2 linked regions of the Sus scrofa genome follow. The protein of the gene in region 1 purifies or fractionates together with the protein of each later gene. This does not show direct contact. Links are inferred from orthologs where the notes say so. Each region holds a gene or a part of one and is shown on either strand. Other genes may lie near its edges.

Region 1 (3,819 bases):
AGAGCAGAGCATGTAGATGAAGTTATGCTTAAATTGTTCCAGGCCTGGCAAGAAAGCAGGAGTGGCTAGAGAAAGAGTGAGCCAAAGGGATGAGAGGAAGAAGGTAAGTGGAGAGCAGGGCAGAGACAGGCAGGGGCCAGTCTTATAAGTGATTTTAAGAAATGTGGATTTTATTCTGAGTGTAGTGGGAAGCTGTTGGAATTTTTGAACAGAGTGATTTGACCTGATTTGTATTGTTGAAAAGATAACTAGCTGCTCTGTGGAGAATAGATTTAGGGCAAGAGAGGGAGAAGGAACCACTTTGGAGGGATCTAATGAGAGATAGCTTGCAACAGGAAAAAGGATGGATTTGAGATGGATTTTGAAGATGGAATTCATAGGACATAAATAAAGGTGAATAATTTCTGATACATTTTTATTTATTTTTTGTTTCAGTCAATAAAAGAGTTCCAATCAGAAGAATATCTTCAGATTATTACAGAAGAGGAAGCATTGAAGATAAAGGAGAATGATAGATCACTTTATATTTGTGACCCTTTTAGTGGTGTTGTCTTTGACCATCTCAAAAAGGTTTGCTTTAACTTTTAGTGTGTTCCTTCAGCAATCTGTTTTTTGGTTTGCTTTTGCTTCAGCAGACATAAGTTCTTTACTGACCATGAAATATTTTGCAATTTATGAAATCAGAGAAATTCTTTGGTTTTGGAAGTAGTGTTTTTTAAGGCTAATTGTGTTTCAGTAAGCTTTGGTTAATATGTAAGTTCATATTTCAGGGAATTTAACTTCATTTAGTACAAGTTAATCCTGTGTTAATGAAGCATTTTATTGATGAAATTCCACTGCACTGTAAACACAGTTTGAATGTAAGATTTATCAGGAAAAAATAATCGAGTAGGAAAAGACCTCAACCTAAAGCTTGGTTACTTACTGTCTTTCCTATGTGCTCCTGAATTTTAGTACTCATATCTTTTTTTTTTTTTTTTTTTTTTTTTTTTTTTTCCATTTCTCAGGCCTCTCCCACGGCATATGGAGATTCCCAGGCTAGGGGTCAAATCGGAGCTGTAGCCCCCGGCCTACGCCACAGCCACAGCAACGTGGGATCCGAGCCGCATCTGCGACCTACACCACAGCTCACGAAAACGCTGGATAGTTAACCCACTGAGCAAGTGCAGGGATCGAACCCTCAACCTCATGGTTCCTAGTAGGATTCATTAACCACTGCGCCAAGACAGGAACTCCTTAGTATTCATATCTTTATAGGGTCTGAAAAATGATATGCTAAACAGAAGCATTTTGGGGTTAAGCATTACTAATATACCAATGAGCCATCTTATTTCTTTTTGTTGATTCTAGAGTCTACTGACTCATTACTTTTTTGGTGTCTGGACAAGAGAGAAGCATTGAAATAAGAGTAAACTGACTATAATTCCATCCAGATTACAAAGAACTTATTCTTGTTTAAAGAAGAAGAAAACATAGAAGAGTAGGTAGATGCAGTACTGTCTGTACAGTGTACAGAAGGTCTGTGCCCACCTTTGCCAAAAGCATTGTTGGTCTTGAAATAACACTGCTTGTCAGGTAGAATCAGCAGCATCAAAAACTCAGTTTTCTTATGACTGACCAAAAAGGTAGCAACAATCATTTGCTCTGTGGATATTTAAATCAGTCATGCTTTGGTGACTTTGGCAACAGTAGGCTTTTTAGTCTGGCCCAGGTGTGCTGAATTGAGCAAGACTGTCACCTTTCTCAATTAGCAATGAAAATAAAAGGTTTTTTCTTTTTCTTTTTTTGAGCAACCTGCAGTATCTTAGGAGAAGTCTTTGTGGATCTTCCTTGAAAAGACATTAAGTTGAAGACAAAGTATTTTAAAAAAACAAATACAGAAACTGCCTAGGATTATACTTTTTTGGGGTAACATAATAGGTATTTAGAGGGACTTTATCTGAGCTCATACTTTTAAACTACTTTATTGGCTGAAAGCTTCATTTGAAAAGTAAATGTAGATATTTACTAATTCTAATGGCATGAGACTGTTAATTCACATCCCCTGTCATTAAGATTGCATTTGTTTTAGAGATTAAAAATTTAATGGCAACTTTGAGTATGGCTTTTAGAGCTTATTTCTTTTGATAGCCTGCATTGTTTGATTTGCTTGTATGTGTGTGTTTTAACGTGGTGTATGTTTGAGAAATCATATAATGGTCTTTTTTTTTTTTTTCCTTGTAACAATTTGGTGATTTTTCTGCAGTGGTCATCAACTCCTATAAAGAATTGGTAAATATTACAAAATGTAATCTTAATGTAAGACTGAAGGTCTTTTCCTACTTACTAAACTTTATCTGTTTTTGTAGCTTGGCTGCAGAATTGTTGGTCCTCAAGTGGTCATATTTTGTATGCACCACCAGCGATGTGTCCCAAGAGCGGAGCATCCAGTTTATAACATGGTTATGTCTGATGTAACTGTATCTTGTACAAGCCTGGAAAAAGACAAAAGGGTAGGTGTTGAGGTGTTGAGAGGAATATCATGATCAATATATATATTTCCACACTTAATTTTTCACTGTGTAGGAGATACTTCAAAAGACCTTGCACTTGGTGTTCATGACTTATAGCAAAATCAAGATGACAGTGTATATCTTTTTTAATTTTTTAATAAATTAAGGAGTTCTTGCTGTGGTGCAACATGATCTAGTGTCTGCAGCACTAAGACGCAGGTTTGGTCCCTGGCCTGGCACAGTGGGTTAACGGATCTGGCGTTGCCACAGCTGCAGCTTGGATCTGATCCCTGGCTCAGGAACTCCATATGCCATGGGGCTGCCACGAAAGAAAAAAAATTGATAAATAAATTGAATACAGTGGAATCTTTTGTTGAAAACTGGCTAGTTGAAGTTTTTTGTTTTGATTTAAAGAGGAAGCTCAGTTTTTTCCTCTGTATAATCAGTGAGTTTGTTTTTGAATCATTTATATTTTTCCATCATAGTTGGTTAATTTTTTTAAAAAAGGCTTCTGAGAGCTATGTATATGTTTTTATATATTACGTGTATAATTTATATTTTTTGAGTATGTACATGGCGTAAAAATTATTTTTTATTGTAGAAGCAACATAGTTAAATTTATGGAAGATAAATGTAGGGAGATAATGTGTATAAAGATAACTATTCTAAAACGTATACTTTATATTCCCACAAGTAATTTTGTCAATTATTTAATTTTATGGTGGTGGTGAACATTTGTACATTCAAACTAACAACAAAAGATGTTTATGGGATATTGTATAAAAAGTGGAAGAGATATAGTTTTCCTCCCTATTAATAAAGTATTTTCTTTTGGGGCTACAGGAAGAAGTTCATAAATATGTACAAATGATGGGTGGACGCGTATACAGAGACCTTAACGTATCAGTAACTCACCTTATTGCAGGAGAAGTTGGTAGCAAAAAATATTTAGTTGCAGCAAACCTAAAAAAACCTATTTTGCTTCCTTCTTGGATAAAAACACTTTGGGAGAAATCACAAGAGAAGTAAGAAAAATATTTAGATATTTTCTAGATTTGAAAAAATGATGCATTCAATCATTTTGGCATATTGTGGGCTTTCATAGGGGAGGTTTTATGACACTCTCTTTGGATTTGTTATTTGGGGACAAAAAAAAAATTGTTACTCTTCTCTAATATAAACAAAATATAACCTATAAGCTCTCATCATCAAGTTGATAGGTAGAATGAGCTGTGTACTTAGCATCAGCTGAAAGGTAAGAAAAGCTTTGATAATAGGATTGTTTTCAGCAATAATGTTTGTAAAATAGTTGAGAAAATCAGTGTGG
Region 2 (3,819 bases), on another chromosome or scaffold:
GTTAAACACTTGGCACAGGCCAGCCTCGGCCACAATGGACCCCTCGTCATCGGGGCCTCGCCAGCTGGCAGAGGCTGGGTGCCGTTCAGTAGGGCTCAGGCCTCATGCTGCAGACAAACAGGCTCCTCCAGGTGCTCGCTCACTCATGGTGCCCCTCTTCTTTTTCCAGTTCCATTACTTCATCCTCATAAACTGTGGCGCTAACGTGGACCTATTGGATATACTTCAACCCGATGAAGATACCATATTTTTCGTGTGTGACACTCACAGGCCAGTCAATGTTGTGAACGTGTACAATGATACCCAGGTAAGCAGGCCTTTGGGGCCCTGAGTTCTATCCATCTGTCTGTTCCCTTTTTGTGCATGGACAGCACTGCATCTGGTGTTCTTGGCAAGGAGCATGGCCACCTCTCCAGTAGGAGCTGGAGCAGCCTGAAGATGAGAACCCGGTCTTGTCCATCCTGGATGAGAAACACAGCATATACCCTGGAAGTGCTCAGAGTGCATGTATGGAACTTGCTCGACCTGGGAGGTGTAGGGACCAGAACCCTACCCTGAGTCTTTGCTCCCAGTTCAGGCCAACCCAACCTTAGTGAATATCAGGAGACCTCAGAGATGCCCCTAAATGGGGCAGGGACGTGCCCTACTTATCCAGGGCGGTATAGGGACCAGGTGTGAGAGGCCATGGTGAGCCTGGCTTGGCTCTGACTCACTTGCTCCTGGAGCCTGAGCAGAGCAGCCACCTAGCCCTTCTCTGAGTCTCCACAGTCTCTGTGTCCTCTGTCCGAGGCCAAGTTGCAAGGCGTTCACTTTGGTGGCTGTGTGTGTGGCCTGAGAGGGACCTTTTTCCCAGACTTAAGGGACTATACCTGTACCTCTGTGCACCATGTGGCACACAGATCCCAGTGCCTCACTGAGCAGAAATGAAGATGAGAAAACATCTAAGAGTCTGAGTTCTCACGTGGGGCTCTGCTACACAGGCCAGTCAGGAAGTAAGATTTTGTAAGAGATAAACACTATGGATAGTTTTTGGTCAAGGAGAGAGGAGGTTTATTGCTTTTTGTTTGAATCTTAGATCAAACTGCTTATTAAACAAGATGACGACCTGGAAGTTCCTGCCTATGACGACCTCTTTAGGGATGAAGAGGAAGATGAAGAACATTCAGGAAACGAAAGCGATGAGGGGTCAGAGCCTTCTGAGAAGCGCACACGGTTAGAGGAGGTGGGTTCAGGCCTCTCACCATGATCTTGAGGAACTCGGGGGTTGCTCCTGAGGTCAGAGAGCAGCCCGAAGCCAAAGGCCTTGGCAGAGCTGGGGGGCAGCAGGCACGGCTGCTGACTCAGGGCTCTCCTCTCCCCTGGCTGTGCGGCCTTGGGCAGGTTTCTGACTTTCTCTGAGCTTCGGTATCCCTGTCTGTGCCATAGAATCCCGGCTGATGAAATGAAACTTGGTACTGCTCAGCTTACCACCTAGGTAGCAAACACTTTCTAAAGCTGCACGAAGAAACAGTAAGCAGCACAAGCGGCCCCTCTCTTCCCCAGTCCCTCCAGTGTGTGCTCACTGTGGAGGAGCTGCAGTTCTAGACCATCACCCCAGGGGAAGTATTTTGTGGATAGATACCAGTGGTTTGCACCCAGTGGGCCTGGGGCCTGTGCACTTCTGCGAGATGTAGGATTACTGGTCGTTGCTGCAACGGGAAGGCTGAGATTATTCTAGTGCTCAGTGTTGTGAAGAAGTGGATGCCTCTGGCTCTGGGTCCTTGCTGTGCGGACTGATTTGCCTCTGGGATGTTCAGGGTCTTCCCCTCATCCTTGGCCTCACAGGGCCATGTCTGGGACGTCTGGACACTGTCCACTGGGGGGCGTCCTGCTTCCTCGGCTCGCCTGCTCTTTCTAGAGTGTCGGGTCCTCTGAGCAAGACTTCTCAGACCCACTCAGATTTCTTTCCTCTTGCCTGGCTCTTTACCTCTTTGTTCTATTTTCCAGCCAAGTTCTGGTCTTTGTCTTCTGATCTTTGATTTCTAAGAGCTCTTTCTTTTTACTACAAGCTTCAGGGGTACAGCATTATAGTCCAACATCTGCACACACTGCAAAGTGCTCACCACCCCAAGTCTAGTACCAGCCGCCACCATATGGTAGATCCCGGTTCCCTTCACCCTCGTCCCTGCCCCCCACCCCCACCCCCCGCCCCAGTAGCAGATCTCTGTATCCATGAGTTTGTGTTTATTTTCTCTGTTCATTTGTTATGTGCAGATTCCACATATAAGTGGTATATGATTTCTGTCTTTCTCTGTCTGGCTTATCTCACCTGTATGGTGATCTCTAGGTCCACCATGTTGCTGTAAATTGCATTATTTCTGTGGCTGAGTAGTATCCCATTGCATAAATACACGACATATTCTTTATTCATATCTCTGTTGATGGACATTTAGATTGCTTCCATGTCTTAGGTATTGTGAATAGTGCTGCAGTGAATACAGGGATGCATGTATCTTTTCAAATCATGGTTTTCTTAGGTAAATGCCCAGGAGCGATATTGCTGGATCATATGGTAGCTTTATTTTTAGTTTTTTTGGCCAGGCCAGGGATCGAACCACACCTCTGCAGCAACCTGAGCGGTCGGATTCTTAACACACTGCACCACCGCGGGAATTTTATTTTTAGTTTTTTAAGGGACTTCGGTACTGTTTTCCAGAGTGGTTGTACCAATTTACATTCCCACCAACAGTGCAGGAGAGTTCCCTCTTCTCCACACCCTCTCCAGCATTTGTTATTTATAGACTTTTTGATGATGGCCATTCTCCCTGGAGTGAAGTAGTTTTGATTTGCATTTGCATTTCTCTAATAATTAGTGATGTTGAACATTTTTTCATGTGCTTGTTGGTCATCTGTCTGTCTTCTTTGGAGAAATGTCTGTTTTAGTTTTCTGCCCATTTTTTTACTTGTTTGGTTTTTTGCTAGTGAGCTGTGTGAGCCCTCCTGCCCAGGCTTGGGGTCCCACAGTGTCCCACAGCCACAAGGGAAGGGGACAGGACCCTACTGTGCGCTCTGGGGAGGGTCAAAGAATCCTTGGACCGTGGGGGTTTTGTTAATCAGCTTTACTGACATTTAACTTCTACACAATAAATTTCTCTAGGTCTAATCTGATGAGATTTGACAATGTGTAAAGTCATGTCACGACAGAGAACAGAAGAGTTCCATCACCCTCCAAAAGTTCCCTCAGGACCATGGCTTGCCTTTTTGCGGGGGGGGGACACCTGAAGCACATGGAGGTTCCCAGGCTAGGGATTGAATTGGAGCTGCAGCTCCCGGCCTAAACCACAGCCACAGCAACGCCAGATCCGAGCCAAGTCTGAGACCTATACCACAGCAACACTGGATCCTTAACCCACTGAGCGAGACCAGGGATCGAACCCACAACCTCATGGTTCCTAGTCGGATTCGTTTCCGCTGCGCCACAACGAGAACACCTCCTTGCCCTTTTTTTTTTTTTGTCTTTTCTAAGGCCTCATGCGCAGCATATGGAGGTTCCCAGGCTAGGGGTCCAATCGGAGCTGTAGCCACCGGCCTACACCAGAGCCACAGTGACACTGGATCTGAGCCGTGTCTGTGACCTACACCACAACTCACAGCAACACTGGATCCTTAACCCACTGAGCAGGTCCAGGGATCGAGCCCAAATCCTTATGGATACTAGTCATGTTCGCTAACCACTGAGCTATGACGGGAACTCCAAGTTGCTTCCCTTTTGTTTCTGAGTTTGTTCCATGGTGTGGACCCACCTCGGTTTGTTTAGCCATATACTCCCTGACGGGCATC

What was found.
Region 2: the proteins of TOPBP1 (region 1) and CDC45 purify together in Homo sapiens (affinity purification with western blotting; 3 studies listed by BioGRID and IntAct, with this or other methods). This does not show direct contact. The link is inferred for Sus scrofa from reciprocal best matches to the Homo sapiens genes TOPBP1 and CDC45.

What each region holds. Positions count from the first base shown.
Region 1 is NC_010455.5:74,839,602-74,843,420, reverse strand, and holds part of TOPBP1 (DNA topoisomerase 2-binding protein 1), read left to right. Parts: intron 1-435; coding exon 436-570; intron 571-1,808; exon of another isoform or gene 1,809-1,920; intron 1,921-2,245; exon of another isoform or gene 2,246-2,271; intron 2,272-2,348; coding exon 2,349-2,492; intron 2,493-3,335; coding exon 3,336-3,517; intron 3,518-3,819. UniProt on the Homo sapiens protein: Scaffold protein that acts as a key protein-protein adapter in DNA replication and DNA repair. Composed of multiple BRCT domains, which specifically recognize and bind phosphorylated proteins, bringing proteins together into functional combinations.
Region 2 is NC_010456.5:51,135,992-51,139,810, forward strand, and holds part of CDC45 (cell division control protein 45 homolog), read left to right. Parts: intron 1-169; coding exon 170-307; exon of another isoform or gene 308-363; coding exon of another isoform or gene 364-507; intron 508-1,075; coding exon 1,076-1,222; intron 1,223-3,819. UniProt on the Homo sapiens protein: Required for initiation of chromosomal DNA replication. Core component of CDC45-MCM-GINS (CMG) helicase, the molecular machine that unwinds template DNA during replication, and around which the replisome is built.